Callithrix jacchus: one gene and its partners. The protein of the gene in region 2 interacts with the protein of the main gene of each other region in a pairwise test. Links are inferred from orthologs where the notes say so. Each region holds a gene or a part of one and is shown on either strand. Other genes may lie near its edges.

Region 1 (4,167 bases), on a different chromosome or scaffold from region 2:
TCCTGTAAAATGGTTAACCATCAGGATTGATTGATTCCTCATGATGGCAGGTGTTTTGTGTTTTTTTTTTTTGACGCGGAGTTAATTGTTGCCCAGGCTGGAGTGCAATGGCGCGGTCTCCGCTCACCCCAACCTCCACCTCCCAGGTTCAAGCGATTCTCCTGCCTTAGCCTTCTGAGTAGCTGGGATTACAAGCATGCTCCACCATGCCCTGCTAATTTTGTATTTTTAGTAGAGACGGTATTTCTCCATGTTGGTAAGGCTGGTCTCAAAACTCCTGACCTCAGGTGATCAGCACTCCTCGGCCTCCCAAAGTGCTGGGATTGCTGGTGTGAGCCACTGGGCCCGGCTGATGGCAATGTTTTTAATCCAAAGGGATGAATGGGTGGTAATGTAATTTTGGGTGCCACTTTTGGGGCCGATTGGAGGAATTTTCACGTTAAATATACAGCAATAACGTCATCTTGGAGGAAATTCCTAGCTTCCTGAGGGAATCGGTGAAAGGAAGTAGCCTTTTACTGGCATTTACTGAGATTCAGGGTGCGAAGAAGTCGGCTTTGGGGGTAGGTAGAGAATAAATACCAGTGAATTTATACAAGCCACGTTGTCCTGGTTTTCTTGCCCTTTGGCGGTGGATTTGGTCGTGCCTTGGGGTGGTGGAAGAACTGAATGGGCTTAATTCGCAAAGGTCAGCTCAATTATGAAGTATGAAGACAGGTCGCGGCGGGCAGGCAGGTGGCGCTGACCACCAGGCTGAGGAGCCCGTAGGATCCGGGGGCCCGCGAAAGCAAAGCACTGAGGTGGCGGGGTTTGCTGGAGAGTGACAATGTGCGGAAGGACCTGTTACTGCGGGAGCGGGAGCGGGAGCTCAGCGCTCAGAGTCAGAGACGAGGGTGAATCAGCAGCTCTGGGAGGGCTCCAAAATGGGCTTGGCTGAGTGCGCAGCCACAGCAGACGCGCCTCGAGAGAGCGCATAAAACCCGGCAAAGCCAAAGTGCGTTATCAGCCGCTGGTCTCTTGGGAGGCTCCCACCTGCCAGACCACCAGTGCCTCGCGCCCAGATAAATCTTGAGCACTCAGCCCCCGCCCCACCCGCCGCTCCTGGAACTCCACCTTCCAGAAGGCAGCGAGAACCGCATGTGTGGCTAATCTGTAAGCCGGAAAAGAGTTGCGCACGCGCAGAGAGGGCGGCCCAGCGCAGACTCAGCGCCTCTCCTCTGGGCCCCGCTCGCCCCGCCCACCGGGCTCCTTGCACTCCGCTCCTTTCTTGTATCACCGCTACGCATGCGCCTTGCAAGGAGGGGCGAGATTTCGGGGACAGGGCCGGGGGCGGGCCTAGGCCAGGGGCTCACAGCGACTGCGCGGACGGGTTCTCAACTGGAACATGGCGACTTGCGCCGAAATCCTGCGGAGCGAGTTCCCCGAAATTGACGGACAGGTCTTCGACTACGTGACGGGTAAGCAGAACTGAATCAGCTGGCTGAGGACACCAAAGTGGAGGCCGGGGGAAAGCCTAAGCGAGCGTCGTGCCGGGGACTGTTGCCAGGCCTCTCCTCGGCGTGACCTCTTGTCCCGGGGGCCGGTTGGGTCTGGAACCTGGACTGGGGCCGCTGTTTGGGGAAACTGCTTGTGTGTCCTCCCTACCTGATACCTTCCTCGTTCTGCCACGCCCTGCGCAGGCGTCTTGCACAGCGGCAGCTCGGACTTTGAGTCTGTGGATGACCTGGTGGAAGCTGTGGGGGAACTATTGCAAGAGGTGTCCGGGGACAGCAAGGATGACGCGGGCATCAGGGCCGTGTGCCAGCGCATGTACAACACTCTGCGCCTGTATGTGCCGGGCAGTAGGGGTTGATGGGGGCGAAGGGAGGGCGAACGGTCCGGAGACAAGAGGTGGGGGAAGAAGGTCTGACGGCCGTAGAGCTTTTCCCTCAACTGCTAACTTTGCGCTTTCTCTCCCTACCTACATAGGGCTGAACCACAGAGCCAGGGAAATAGCCAGGTGCTACTGGACGCCCCCATCCAGTTGTCAAAGATAACGGAGAACTACGGTGAGAGTGAGGGGAGATTCAACTAACTGCCCTCTGTCCTTTTCTCTGCCCCTACCCATCTGCCCCCTGCAGCTTAGAGCTCCTACTGCGTCTTTTCCACAGGACAGGGTTGTAGGAGCTAGTTGATGTCCTTACCGAGGGCAGAAGAGTCCATGGTCGGGGGGAGGCTGTTGTTGGAGGGTTCTCCTAGCCCTTGGGTATGGTAGGAAGCATAGGAGCCTGGAACTGGACAGACTTGGTTTCACTCGCCCATTTTCCAGCTTACTAACCAGCTGCATGATCTTTTTAGAGTTGGTTATCTGTCCCCACCCCCTCCTATGCTTCTGTATTCTTTTACGTGAGGTTTGTTTGTTTATGTTTTTTAAGTGCAGGGAAGATAATAGCCGTCTATCTCCAGGATTATAAAGCTTTGTAGAAAACGTCTGTGTCTGTGCCTGGTTCATATTAGTCACTCAAAGTGTTAGTTTCCCTTCCCTCAGGGAGAAGGTGACTGCTTTTCTTATCGCTTACAGACTGTGGAACCAAACTTCCAGGACTGCTAAAGAGGGAACAGTCCTCGGTGAGGAGGAGGAAGCAAGGGAGGGAGTGTGTGATGGGGTTGGGAATGGACTGTCTAATTGGAGGATCTTTTGGGGGGATTTCTGACTGTGTCTTTCCCTGAGCCTTTGAGTCCGTTCATCTTGGGTAAGTTAAGAGGGTTTACTTGAGGTGTTCTCTCTTCGGGTTCCTTACTGAGCCTACACCCTAGAGTGAAGTCAATGTGTTTGGATCCTTAGACAGTGAATGCAAAGAAGCTTGAGAAGGCTGAGGCTCGACTTAAGGCAAAGCAGGAGAAGCGGTCAGAGAAGGACATGCTCAAGACCAGCAACCCTCTGTGAGTGGAGAAAGCATGGCTCAGAAGAGAGCAGAGTAGTGTCTGCCTGGACTGGTGGGGAGCACTAAGAGCTGTCCATTTCTCCCTTTAAAGAGTCTTAGAAGAGGCATCAGCTAGCCAGGCAGGCAGCAGAAAGGAGAGTCGATTGGAATCATCTGGCAAGAACAAATCCTATGATGTGCGAATTGAGAACTTCGATGTGTCCTTCGGGGACAGGTGAGGGAATCGTGGGGGCGGGACTTGGCTTTCTTTTTCTAATTAGGGGAAAATTTAGAGAGATGAAATGGGGCTACAAACAATGTTAGGTTTATCGTTAACTTTCTGTGCACCTGTTTTTAGAGCATCTTTGGTCTCCTTTCTCCACCCCTGCAGAGTACTGCTGGCTGGAGCTGATGTGAACCTGGCATGGGGCCGCCGTTATGGGCTGGTGGGGCGGAATGGGCTGGGGAAGACCACGTTACTGAAGATGCTGGCCACCCGGAGTCTCCGGGTTCCAGCCCACATTTCCCTGCTGCACGTTGAGCAAGAGGTTGCTGGAGATGACACCCCTGCCCTACAGAGTGTGCTGGAGAGTGACAGTGTGCGGGAGAGCCTGTTACGGCGGGAGCAGGAACTCAGCACCCAGATTGCTGCTGGCAGGTGAGGGCTTCAGGCTAGAGAGTAACTAGCAGCTGCTGGCCCTCACAGAGTGCCTGCCCTGCTGGAATAATCCACCATTTGCATGTGCATACTAGTAATCAACAGAGCTTAGAACTTGGCACTCTGGCACTCAGCAGCCCTTGTTCTTTCCACAGTGCCCATTGCCCTCATTCCCTTGAGCAGATCCTTCCTCTATTCTCTTCCTCTTGTAGCCAGTGGCCTCTTTCCAGCTGTATAGGGCACAGGACATCCTCCTAGACTGCCCCCACTTAGGCCATTTGCTGTTTCTCCTCCCTCCAGGGTGGAGGGCTCTGAAGCTGCAGAACTGGCAGAAATCTATGCCAAACTGGAGGAGATTGAGGCTGACAAGGCACCTGCCAGGTATATCAAACTCCCCTCCCTCCAGATTTCCTTTCCCTTCTGTGGACTGTTCCACTTGACTTCTTCAGTTTCTTCCCTCCTAGGGCATCAGTCATTCTCGCTGGGCTTGGCTTTACCCCTAAAATGCAGCAGCAGCCTACCCGGTGAGTGACCCTTGCCATTCTTGGCTTTGAACCCTGTTGACTCAGCCCCTTTCTGACCTGATGAACACCCACCCCTAATGTG
Region 2 (4,068 bases):
CTCGACCCCCTCCACTTTCTCCCATCTCCAGGGAGAGAGACTCCACAGGTGGGCCAGGCGTCTCTGCTTGTCAGCTGCAGGCTCCAACCTCAGCTTATCCTCTGCTGCCAGCCGAACCTCCCCCTTTTCCTTACCTAGTGCATTGTGGTCCCTCCTCCTGGAACACCCTCCCCAGAGCCCAGGATTGCTGTCCCTAAATCTCACCCTCGTAGCATGCAGTCGGCAAAGTTGGCATTTAACAAATGTTTGATGGATGAATTAATGGATTAAAGAGTAAATGAATGAATAAATGGGAAGATTCATCTCAAACGACCCCTCTTCCAAGAAGCCATTCCCAGGCACCAAAATCCGACATGCACACTCCCTCACCAGAACTCTCCTGCCAGCCAGCCATGCCCTACAGGACCATGGATGATGCCCTCACTATACCCAACTGTCTTCAAGCCAGGCGACCCCCTGAGCTTAGGGGCTGATCAGTTTTGGATCCTGTGCACTATTATGCACTGAAGTCTCCAGGAAATGCTGTTGACATTAAGTGGAGTCAAGCGTACCTTGGGCCTGTTTCTCCACCTGTCAAATGGGTGACTACTCGCTCTACCAGCTGCTATCTGCGCTGGCCGTGAAGCCTACCAGACACACTCTCTCGTCACAGAGCATGGCCATAGGGGAGAAGCCTCCTATATTTTGGATAAGGACTAGACCCTCTCACCTGGGTCCTGGGTTGGAGCCAAGCCCCTCCTGGGCAGGGTGGATGCTGGATGGGCTTGAGGATGGGCACACAGAAGACATTTGTGTTCCCTGGTTACCTGGGGCCTTCCGCAAAATCTGGTGAGAACAAGGTTGGGAACTGAAGGGGCTCAGGGGTCACTAACCCACAGGGCAAAAGAAACCCCACTTAGTTGGCTACCTGATTTGTGTGGCCTTTGCCCATTTTCTGTCTGTCCCTTCAAACTGGGACTCCTGTGTCCATTCTCAGACTGCATGTTCCCCAGACTGAAGGTGGCAGCCTTGGGAGCTCCTCTGCTGCTCTGCTCAGCTCAGGAGAGGCGCTAGCCTGGCTTATCAGGGAGGTTGGGTCTTGTGCCCAGTGAGCCCAAATCTGAACGAGGACATGGGAAGCACCCACCTGCAGCTTGGGGAGCTGGGGCTCTGGGCATGGTGACATCCGTTCTGGCTGGCCAGCCCCCAGAGTGCTGTCTGAGATTGGGGGCTGAAGGTCCCGGTGCACGTGGAAGGCCACACTGTAGGCCAGGCCCCCACAGTGGCGGGCTGTGGGGTCCGTGCTGGCCCGGAGCAGCGCCAGGTTGCCACAGTAGCGGTACAGGTCCTCATGGTCCCGAGCCTCCGGGTTCATGCGGGGTTGGTCCGGCCTCGGGTAGATGGGGAAGATGGCCTCACCCACCCGCTGGGTCGTCCATCCTGAGGGTTCGTCCAGCCTCAGCGCCTCCACGCGCAGCTGAGCGTCATGCTGCCCATCATTCTTGCAGAAACCTGGATGAGGGAACACGGGGCTCAGAGATGGTCTCAGGTTTCTCTGCATCTGCTGGGGGACTAGGAGGACAGGCAGGGCCCTGGGGAAACCTGGGCTGCCCAGCCTTCGAGTGGAAGCCAAGCAGTCTTGGCTAAGATTTCCCTGGTGGGCGACTCCCTCCTAGGCCCCCAGCATTTGCAGAGAAACCCTCCCTGGACTCCCTCCCTTTGCTGATACCCAATCCAAGCCCACCCAGCAGAGGTGAGGAAGGGAGGGCTTAGCCTGTGGGATGATCCCAGGTCCTGCTACCAACCTCGACTCTTAGACTTGGGAAGAGTTCAGCCTGCCCCTGATTTATGGCCACTTAAAGTCTGTGACCTGGTTTCCCCATTCCCCCACATCCCTCCTCCTCCAGGCAGCCTGCTGGGGTGACCTCACAGTCTAGGTATAGATCTCCTTCTCATTCCAGCTCACGTTACTTCTCTCTGCTTGAAGTTCCTGTCCCTTCACCTGCTTTGGAAGTTCCAGAAGGCAGGGCCCAGGTGTCCTGGGCCCTGGGTCCCCTCATTTCTGTCCACACCCCCATGCCCACAATCAAGTGGGGATCAGGGCCAGGCACTCAAGGGGCTGAGTCTAACGTTACTCAGTGTGATGTCCACTGCCGAGGACTGGCCCCCAAACCCACCGTATGATCAGAGCTCTTATATTTACAAAGCCATCTCTCATCTGCGCTTCTATTTCCTTCTCACCTGACCTTGCGTGATGGACATCAGCGTCCAGTTCCCAGGCCACACTGAAGGAGGCAGGGGTCACAGAGGCCCAGAATTTGCCCAAGGTCACACCAGCAGAGCTTTGGCATGCAGTCTGGAGCCCCACCCCTCCCAGTTCTCCTCAGGCTCTCTGGGGTCCCAGAGTGGGGCTGAGGCAGGGGTTCCAGGGTCTTTCTCTCCCCCAAGCCCCACCCCCACTTCATACCTTTGGGCAAAGTAAAGATAAACTTGTTCCTGGTGAGGGTGAGACTGTGGCCAGGTTCCTGCTGCTCAATGACATCAGTGACAACAGAGCAGGCATGGAGGGGATCCCCATCATTCACTTGCAACTGCACCCCAGCCCCAGAGCCCGCCTGCAAGGGGTTCTCAGCTGACAGTCTCAGGGCATATCTACCCCCCTCATTAAACCCCACGCTCAAAACTTCGAACTCTAGATCCAGGGTCTTCTCCTCTGCCTTCAGTCTCCGGCTCAGCAGGGATGTAGAGACCCAGGGTTCAGGCCCTCTGAATGCCATGGCCACGGGGGGATCGACTGCCAGGCTGAGCACTGCGCCCTCTCACCCACGGCCCAGCCTGAACCCAATCTGAAAGCCTGCAGGCTGCGTGCTCAGGGCCACTCCCCACCCACCTCTGTTTGTTTGAGGAGAAACCAGGTAACAAGGCAGGAACCTGGGCCTGACCCAGGAAACTTTTGTTCCATCAATCCCTTCCCTTTAGCATTTGTTCCTTCAACAAATATTTCTTGAGCACCTACTGCGTGCCAGACACTATTTTAGGCGTTTGGAATCCAGCAGTGAACCAAACAGTAACTCCAGCCCTCTGAAGTTTATCTTCTAGTGGGAGAGGTGTGTAGAGACAGACAAAAATAAACACTAAACATAGAACATAAGTAAATTATAATGTATGCTAGAAGATGCTAATTTTTTTTTTTTTTTTTTTTTTGAGATGGAGTGTTGCTTTCATCTCTCAGGCAGGCTGGAGTGCAATGGCGGTGATCTCGCCTCACTGCAACCTCCACCTCCTGGTTCAAGCGATTCTCCTGCCTCAGCCTCCTGAGTAGCTGGGATTACAGGCGTTTACCACCATACCCAGTTAATTTTTTTTTGTATTTTTAGTAGAAACAGCGTTTTGCCATGTTGGCCAGGCTAGTCTCGAATGCCTGACCTCAGGTGAGCTGCCCACCTCAGCCTTGCAAAGTGCTGGGATTATAGGCATTGGCTACTATACCTGGCACAAAGATGCTAAATTCTATGGAAAAATTGAAAGCAGGTCGAGGATGAAGATTCTGGTATGGGGAGCATGTGGATATGTGATATCCAGAACTTCCCATTCGGGGAGAGCCTATCTCTATGTGCCTATTCATTCCCATTGACTTGAGGTGCAGGGAGTCTCAAGGGAAGGGAGACCGTGTCTATTTTCAGGGAACAAGCCCTTAGTTTACTTTCCTCTTCTTTTCTTTTTTTTTTTTTCGAGGCAGAGTCTCGCTCTGTCGCCCAGGCTGGAGTGCAATGGCAGGATCTCAGTTACTGCAACCTCACCTCCTAGGTTCAAGCCATTCTGCGTCAGCCTCCCAAGTAGCTAAGACTACAGGCATGTGCCACCACACCCAGCTAATTTTTGTATTTTTAGTAGAGACAGGATTTCACCATGTTGGCCAGGATGGTCTCAAACTCCTGACTTCAAGTGATCTACCCACCTTGGTCTCCCAAAGTGCTAGGATTACAGGCATGAACCACCACACCTGGCCTTGTTTACCTTCTTAATTAAGACTTACAATGGGAGGCACAGCTTCACTTTACAGACAGCCCAGACCCTCTTATAGCAAAG
Region 3 (4,164 bases), on a different chromosome or scaffold from region 2:
AAAAGATGTTAAATTAGAGAAATAAACCGTAACATGTAAATACAATTTTTTTCACATGCCTATAATCCCAACACTTTGGTAGCGAAGAAGAATCCCTTGAACACAAAAGTTTTAAAATCAACATAAGACACCACCTCTACCAAAAATACAAAAATTAGCAGGGTGTGCTGGCGACTGCCTGTGGTCCCAGATACTCTGGCAGCTCAGGTGGGAGGATCACTTGAGCACAGGAGGATCTCGGCAGCGAGCTGAGAGCACACCACTGCACTCCAGTCTGGGCAAAAAAGCGAGACCTGTCTCAAAATGTAACTAAAAAAAAAATTTTTTTTTTATAGAGACAGGGTCAGTGTCTGCGGCCCAGGCTGGTCTCCAACTCGTGGGCCCAAGCGATCCTACTCGGCCTCCTTAACTGCTGGGACTACAAGCGGGAGCCACAGCGCCCGGCCTATAATGACGCTAATGATCTAAAGGATGCATGAGGAACGTAATATCTACAAGGCAAAAAATCTTCTTGCTTAGGAATAAAGCACTCTCTTAATGTTCATCAAAAGTAACAATGTCTTATTTTATGATTTAGAAATTCTGTCTAGAAGAGCAAGCAGAGGTCACTTTTCAGGGCTCGCACTTATGGCATCTTTCGCCTACCTGGAAAACCCAAGAAATTTTCATCTTACTAGGAATTAAGAGACAAATACACACTCAACTTTTTAAAATGTAAGTAGAATTATACATGCATATTTTTGGAAGAATTAAGATGACTTGTGGAACAGAACGACTACAAAGACTACGCTTTCAGAACTCCCTGCTGCCTGAGGCTGCGGCCCTGACCCCGGCACAGAGCCCGCCCCGCGCGGTTCCGGGAAGCCGCCGCCGCCCGTTGCCCTTCGCGCGCAGCCGCCAGCGCGCGCCTCCTGTCCCGCCACGCAGCTGGCCGGTCCGAGCCCCCGGTGCCCAAGAGCAGTTTCAAGAACTTAACAGCCATTTTAGTTCGTCCCCGGGTCGCTAGGAGACCGAAAAGCCGCAGCGAAGGGCGCCCCGCGGGCGACGGCCGAGTCCGGCTCTCCTTCCGCCCTCCCGCTGGGACCCACGCGGCGCCGAGCGGAGGTCCCTGGCGCCTGGGGGGAGGGGTTCCCGCGACCAGGGCGGTCTGGCTGGTAGGGCGAGTCTGGCGCCCCGCTCCTCAGAACTCTAGTCCACGACTCCGAGGTCGGGAGAGCGGGGCGCCAGCGCAGCGCGACCTAGGCCCGGTCCACAAGTTTTCTAGAAGCAGGGCGGAATCGACGAAAATACTTCAAACTAGCAAAAAAAAAAAAAAGGACAACTAAGCCGAAGAGCAGGTATGAGTCGAAGATTTCCACCCCAAATACAAACACCATACCTCTAGGAACTGGAGACTAACCCAGAGACTGCGCTCCGAGAACACGCGGCGCTGCCGAGGAGGAAAAAGAGCCCAGGGCGGAGAGTGAGGGCTGAGGGAACCGGGCGTGGGAGGAGGGCGGAGCCAGCTTCCTGCCAGAGTCTATTGCAACTCCGGCGCCTGCGGCCACGTGAGCGCACGGCTTTCATTTTACTCAGGTATTACTACTCTTGAGACTAGGTCTCACTCCCGTCAGCCAGGCTGGAATGCCGCGGCACTATCACTGGTCACTGCAGTCTCGACCTCTCCGGCGCAAGCGACCCTCCCGCCTTAGCCTCCCGAGTAGCTGGGACAACAGGCGCGCGCCACCACGCGTAAATTTTTCTTTTAATTTTTAGCAGAGACGGAGTTTAACTATCTTGACCAGGTTGGTCGGGAACTCCTGGGCTCAAGACATCTTCCCGCCTGGGCCTCCCGCCGCGCCAAGCCTGTTCTCACTTTCAGAGCCCTCCGACGGTCGCCAGCGCTCCACCAGGAGGCCCGGCTATAACGCACCCGGCCGGCCATGTCTTCCCAGCCACCCGACTCCAAAATCTCAGGCCGCGGTGCTCACCCCGTGGGACCAGTGTCTGGGCGTACGGCTCTCTACCTACGACGCTGCGCCTCCCGACCCCAGTGGAGCCAGTCCTCGCCGGTCCCATGTACCGGCGCCTCGACCTCGAATCCCGTCAACCCAAATCTCAGCCCCTCAGTATGTGCAATCCTCCCTCGGCCCCAGATGTGCGGCGCTTGAACTCGGATCTCGCTTCCCTAATCCCAAATCTCAGGCCCAGCCCCACAATCCCCACCCCACTAGGCCCAATCGCCAGGGTGCGGGTACGCGGCCCCGGACCTCGAGTGATCTCCCGAATCTCAAATCCCAGCCCCACGGTCTCCACCCCCAGAGTACTCGGTCCCCGCTCGGTCCCGGGTGGCCGCCCCTCACCTCGGCCTCCGAGTCTCTACGTTCCCGCTCTCACATCAGGAACCCTGGTCGTCCCTCGGAGCACCTAGCGGAGGGTGAAAAGCGGGGAACTTGGCAGTTGTAGCTGTGGCAGTTGAGGCTTGTTGACCATCACCATGGAAACCCCCGGCTGCGAGCACGGGGCGGGGCCTAACAGAGGCGGGGGCAGGAACGCGACCGGTCCCAGTCCTCAGGGCCTGCCTGTCGAGTGCACGCGGCTTTGCCGGAAGCCCTCCTGCTCCCGGCGTGCCAGGCGCCGGCTAGGCCCTACTCCCCGGCTCGGCCCTTCGCCCTGGACACCTGGAAACAGAAACCCAAAGAGCCCGCGTCCCCACCCCGCTGCTACCTGCCGGCGTGACCGCAATTCGGTGCCCCAAGAACCTCACCTTAAGGAAGACGCGGCGCAGGCCTCCTTCCACGACGGACCGGAAAGACGCAAGGACCGCGGCAGGGTGGAGCCTTTGCGTATGGCTTCCGGGGGCGGGGCCGCGACGACGCTATTGTGACGCGCCCAGCGGGGAGCCGTCGATTGGGCGGCAGGCCGCAGGGCGGAGCCGACACTGGGGTGGGGGCAGGGGAGGCCGCGGAGACTCTTGAGCCCGGACGTTTCTGGAGAAGACAGGGGAGGGGAGGGGACGGGAGGAGGAAGAGGGAGTGGAGCGGCGGGAAAGATCCCTCTTACTTCCGCTGACTCCCTGGAGGAACGACAGTGGTGAGACTCGCAGGACTCTGAAATGTGCGCCGAAAGGACGCCTGATTTGAAGACTGGGCTGAAAGAAGGAAATGAGAGCCGATTCCCGGGCGTGGTGGTGCATGCCTGTGGTCCCAGTAATTTGGGAGGCTGAGGCGGGAGAATCACTTGAGCCCGGGAAGTCAAGGATGCAGTTTAGCCCTGAGTGCTCCACTGCCTCCAGCCTGGGCGTCAGAGCGAGACGCTGTCTCAAAAAAAATTTTTTAAGGAAAAAAATACACTGAGGGCAGGGCGCAGTGCCTCACTCCTGTAATCCCAGCACTTTGGGAGGCGGAGGGGGGCGGATCACGAGGTCAGGAGATCCAGGCCAGCCTGGCCAACATGGTGAAACCCCGTCTCTACTAAAATACAAAAAAAAAGGACGGCGTAATGGCGCGCGCCTGTAGTCCCAGCTACTCGGGAGTCTGAGGCAGGTGAATCGCTTGAACCCAAAAGGTGGAGGTTGCAGTGAGGCGAGATTGCGCTACTGCACTCCAACCTGGCAACCGAGTGAGACTCCGTCTCAAAAAAAAAAAAAAGCCGGGTGCGGTGGCTCAAGCCTGTAATCCCAGCACTTTGGGAGGCCGAGGCGGGTGGATCACGAGGGCAAGAGATCGAGACCATCCTGGTCAACATGGTGAAACCCCGTCTCTACTAAAAATACAAAAAATTAGCTGGGCATGGTGGCGCATACCTGTAATCCCAGCTACTCAGGAGGCTGAGGCAGGAGAATTGCCTGAACCGAGGAGGCCGAGGTTGTGGTGAGCCGAGATGGCGCCATTGCACTCCAGCCTGGGTAACAAGAGCGAAACTCTGTCTCAAAAATAAAAATAAATAAATAATAAAAATAAAACAGGCCGGGCGCGGTGGCTCACGCCTGTAATCCCAGCACTTTGGGAGACTGAAGCAGGCAGATCACGAGATTGAGACCATCCTGGCCAACATGGTAAAACCCTGTCTCTACTAAAAAATACAAAAATTAGCTGGGCATGGTGGCTGTCCACCTGTAGTCCCAGCTACTAGGGAGGCTGCTGCAGGAGAATTGCTTGAAACAGGAGGCGGAGACCAGTGAGC
Region 4 (4,242 bases), on a different chromosome or scaffold from region 2:
CCCCCCCGCAAGGCAGAATCTCACTCTGTCGCCAGGTTGGAGTGCAGTGGTGTGATCTCAGCTCCCTGCAACCTCTGCCTCCTGGGTTCAAATGATTCTCTTGCCTCAGCCTCCCAAGAAGCTGGGATTACAGGCGCGCACCACCATGCCGGGCTAATTTTATCGTATGTTTAGTAGACATGGGGTTTCACCGTGTTAGCCAGGATGGTCTCGATCTCAGTTTCTTGAGTAGCTGAGATTACAAGCGCCCGCCGCCACGCCGAGCTAATTTTTTGTATTTTTAGTACAGATGAGGTTTCACCATGTTGGCCAGGCTGGTGTTGAACTCCTGACCTCAGGTGACCCACCTGCCTCGGCCTCCCAAATTGTTGGGATTACAGGCGTGAGCCACCGCACCGGGCCTACTTTCTAAACAAAGTGTATGAAAGCATTAACTTTAATGTTAACATCAGAATTTGAGAAAAAGTTTAGGCTGGGCGCAGTGGCTCAGGCCTATAATCCCAGCACTTTGGGAGGCCGAGGCGGGTGGATCACGAGGTCAAGAGCTCGAGACCATCTTGGTCAACATGGTGAAACCCCCGTCTCTACTAAAAATACAAAAATTAGCTGGGCATGGTGGTGCGTCCCTGTAGTCCCAACTACTCGGGTGGCTGAGACAGGAGAATTGCTTGAACCCAGAGGCCGAGATCGCGCCATTGCACTCCAGCCTGGGTAACAAGAGCGAAACTCCGCCTCAAAAAAAAAGAAAATTTAGTAACTCAAAATTTCGAGTAAAATAATACAGAACTCCACGTTTCTATCACTCACGGTAGGCTCCTGTCCCTTCCACCCCAGGGCAGGGACCCGTCTCAAGGACCCAGCCAGGTTTTGATACTTCAGTCCCCACTGGCCTGCTCGCTCCGACGGAGGGGCTCCTGTAACTGCGCTGTACCCTAAACATTTGCTGAATCGATTTGTCCTTTACTTGTTCCAATTTCGCTTTTTTTTTTTTTCAAGAACATAAGGTTTACAGAACCACACGCAGAAAAGGCAGGGTCAGGCCCGGACGCCCCGCCTTCTGCCTCCCGGCCCGGCGGTGCCCGGATGCCCGGCCTGAGCCCACGGCGCAGCCACATACAACCTCCGTCCCGTACTTCGCGCACTCTCCTGCACCGCCGCGGCCATTTCGCTCAAGAGCTCCTCCACGACCGCCGGCAACACAACGGCCATCGCTCCGCAGGACACACCGTCCTCAACAGGCAGACCGCAACAAAGCGCCAGCGGACAGCGCCGACATGCGGAGTATCCCGGCCGCTCGCCCACCGGGGCCCGGCGAGACCGAGTGACGTCGGCGTGCGTCATCGCGCGTGCGGACGCAACGATGTCTTGCTCAGTCGTTATGGTTCGGCCAATCCGGAGGGCGCTCGGCGCGGGGGCGGGGGCTAGGATCACGCTCGGCCTGCAGTGCGCAGAGGAAGCGGCTGGAGTATGTACCGGCTCCTGAGCCGGAGCTTGGGCCGAGGCCTCCTGCGGGCCGCGGCGCTGCGGTGCCGGGGCTGCTCCGCGCGCCTACTCCCGGGTCTGGCAGGAGGCCCGGGACTCGAGGTCCAGGTGCCGCTATCCCGAGTTGCGCCGCACGGCCGGGGCTCGGGCCTGCTGCCGCTGCTGGCAGGTGAGGGGCGCGGGCCGGGCGGGGCCTGCCGGGCGGGGACAGGGGCGCGGGCCGGGCCCGATGACCTCAGAGCCCCTTCCCGCAGCGCTCACCGGGTTTTCGAGCCCCGCTGCGACAGAAGAGGAGGAGCAGCAGGGAACCGACGGGGCGGACGAGGCTGAGGCCGAGATCATTCAGCTGCTGAAGCGAGCCAAGGTGAGGCGGCTTGGCCCGGCTGAGCGCGGTAGCCTTTGTGAGCGGGGTCCGGCGGCCTTGTCGCTGCGCATTACTCTCTCCGCCTCGCCGAAGAGTGGATGGAGGCTCCACGGGTAGAATTGCTGAGAATCAGTTGGGTCATCCGAGAGAGGACTGGAATTCTTCCAGGCTTTTCCGACTCTAAGGCCTGCAGTAATACCTCTGCAGTGTCAAGTGCAAATGGAGATGGCGCCCCAGGCGTCATCTTTTTATGCAAACGAAATATCGGGAACGTTTTGTAAATGTTTTTATCGATTAACCAGCCTAGCTGAAATGACATAATTTCGCACGCATATAGCGGCCTGAAAATGGCAGCTTAGTGTTGGTTATGCGATTCAGTTCTCTTTTGAATTTTTCCTTTTCTCCACATGCTTTTCTATTTTATTTTCTCCAAGTTATCTCATCTCTTTCATTGAGCTAAATATCTACTCGATGCCAACCACGTCCAAATTTGTATTCCCAGTAGTGTGTTACTGACATGTCATCTGCATTTTGGGACCTTACCTACCTCAGATTTAACAATGTCCCAAACTAAACTCCATCTTTAATGCCTCCTCAACATATGCTTTCACCATCTCTTTACTACCATCAATTTTTCAGCCTAGAAACCTCATAGTCATTCTTAAAACGTATGTTATCTTACCATTGCCTTCCAGTACTCTTACAGACCAGCAACAGGTCCTGTTTCCAACAAACGCAAAATATTTCTAAATATTTCTCAAATCTCCCTATTTCTCTATCTCCCCAGTGCAAACCATCACTGCCACCACCTATGCTCCAGTAGTCTTCCCTGCCCTCTTGTCTCCCTGCATTGTATTCTTGCAGAAACCAGAGTGACCAAAAAAAAAAAAAAAGTAAATTGTATCATATCATCTCCTTGCCTGAGAGCTCTAAATGGCTACTCACTGCATATATGATAAAATACAAACTCCTTGCCATGGCTTGCAACACCCCACATTATCTAAACCACATACCTTGCCCACCAGTTTGGCAATAATCCTCTGGCTCACCATCCTCCCTTCGCATTTGGTTCTTTCCATTTCTCCCCTAAAACCATTCTCTTCAGCTTATAGGGACTTCATTCATTCTCTACCCTCTCTGTTTGAGTTATTCTCCCCAGTTCCTTATTTGGTTGACTCATTCTCATCTTTCCTACCTCAGTTTAGCTGTCATGTTCTTGGAAGGCTAATCTAATTCCCATTTAGAGGAGGCCCCTATCATTTCTTTCTGTCATCTTTATAGCTCTTATTAGTTTTAATTAACCTTACTTGCTCTATGTGGTCACCTCCAGCCTGTAGGAAATTAGAGGATGAAGGACAAGCAACTTCCTTATAAAATTTGTTGTAAGATCACATTTCTTCTGCCCGAGTCTCTTGGCCAAAACTTCATCAGATGGCCACACCTAGCTGCAAGGGAGGCTTACCTCCCTGTCACCTCTGTAGACAATGCCTTGTACATAGTAGGAATGCAGTAAATGTCTGATGAATGAGTAGCTTCCTTCTATCAGTTGGAATGCATAGTTACATACACTTTTGTCTGGTAGCATATGCATCTACTTTATGTTTCATTTTCTGTTATTTTGTTTGTCTTCTCTTTTCAGTTGAGCATCATGAAAGATGAGCCAGAAGAGGCTGAGTTAATTTTGCATGACGCTCTTCGTCTCGCCTATCAGACTGATAACAAGAAGGCTATCACTTACACTTATGATCTGGTAACTCTTATCACCAGTCTGAACCACTGAGGAGAAAAGTTGGATGGAAGAGGAGGGTTGTTAGTTCTCCTGATTTATATTCCTGACTTTCATGATGTTCTAAGGCACGTTCCCCCCCCCACCCACCCGAGACAGTCTTGCTCTGTCGCCAGGCACCAGGCTGGAGTGCAATGGCGCGATCTCGGCTCACTGCAACCTCCGCCTCCCACTTCCAAGCAATTCTCCTGCCTCAGCCTCCTGGGTAGCTGGGACTACAGGCCCATGCCACCACACCCAGCTAAATTTTTTTGTATTTTTAGTAGAGATGGGGTTTCACCATGTTGGCCAGATGGTCTCGATCTCTTGACCTCGTGATCTGCCCACCTCGGCCTCCCAAAGTGCTGGGATTACAGGCTTGAGCCATTGCACCCAGCCGAAGCTCTTTTACTTTTTTACTGAATTTTCTTTTGTTTTTGTTTTTGAGATGGAGTCTTACTCTGTTACCCAGGCTGCATTTCAGTGGCACGATCTTGACTCACAGCAAACTCCGCCTTGTGAGCTCAAACAATTCATGTGCCTCAGCCTCATGAGTAGCTGGGATTACAGATGTGCACCACTATGCCTGGCTAATTTTTGTATTGTAGTAGAGACAAGGTTTCATCATATT

Evidence for each region.
Region 1: the proteins of CCDC33 (region 2) and ABCF3 interact in a two-hybrid assay, tested with the Homo sapiens proteins (2 studies listed by BioGRID and IntAct). The two-hybrid records come from large-scale screens. The link is inferred for Callithrix jacchus from reciprocal best matches to the Homo sapiens genes CCDC33 and ABCF3.
Region 3: the proteins of CCDC33 (region 2) and HNRNPF interact in a two-hybrid assay, tested with the Homo sapiens proteins (3 studies listed by BioGRID). The two-hybrid records come from large-scale screens. The link is inferred for Callithrix jacchus from reciprocal best matches to the Homo sapiens genes CCDC33 and HNRNPF.
Region 4: the proteins of CCDC33 (region 2) and TTC19 interact in a two-hybrid assay, tested with the Homo sapiens proteins (2 studies listed by BioGRID and IntAct). The two-hybrid records come from large-scale screens. The link is inferred for Callithrix jacchus from reciprocal best matches to the Homo sapiens genes CCDC33 and TTC19.

What each region holds. Positions count from the first base shown.
Region 1 is NC_133516.1:13,170,522-13,174,688, forward strand, and holds the start of ABCF3 (ATP-binding cassette sub-family F member 3), read left to right. Parts: upstream 1-1,367; 5' UTR 1,368-1,384; coding exon 1,385-1,457; intron 1,458-1,679; coding exon 1,680-1,827; intron 1,828-1,968; coding exon 1,969-2,048; intron 2,049-2,560; coding exon 2,561-2,607; intron 2,608-2,824; coding exon 2,825-2,922; intron 2,923-3,015; coding exon 3,016-3,138; intron 3,139-3,294; coding exon 3,295-3,561; intron 3,562-3,861; coding exon 3,862-3,942; intron 3,943-4,025; coding exon 4,026-4,085; intron 4,086-4,167.
Region 2 is NC_133509.1:21,056,774-21,060,841, reverse strand, and holds the start of CCDC33 (coiled-coil domain-containing protein 33), read right to left. Parts: upstream 2,801-4,068; 5' UTR 2,757-2,800; coding exon 2,447-2,756; intron 1,492-2,446; coding exon 1,156-1,491; intron 1-1,155.
Region 3 is NC_133513.1:36,094,541-36,098,704, forward strand, and holds the start of HNRNPF (heterogeneous nuclear ribonucleoprotein F), read right to left. Parts: upstream 2,801-4,164; 5' UTR 2,747-2,800; intron 2,407-2,746; 5' UTR 2,343-2,406; intron 1,453-2,342; exon of another isoform or gene 1-1,452.
Region 4 is NC_133506.1:84,645,308-84,649,549, reverse strand, and holds the start of TTC19 (tetratricopeptide repeat protein 19, mitochondrial), read left to right. Parts: upstream 1-1,442; 5' UTR 1,443-1,467; coding exon 1,468-1,651; intron 1,652-1,736; coding exon 1,737-1,846; intron 1,847-3,485; coding exon 3,486-3,596; intron 3,597-4,242. Other genes in the region: ZSWIM7 (zinc finger SWIM domain-containing protein 7), read right to left, coding at 808-940. UniProt on the Homo sapiens protein: Required for the preservation of the structural and functional integrity of mitochondrial respiratory complex III by allowing the physiological turnover of the Rieske protein UQCRFS1.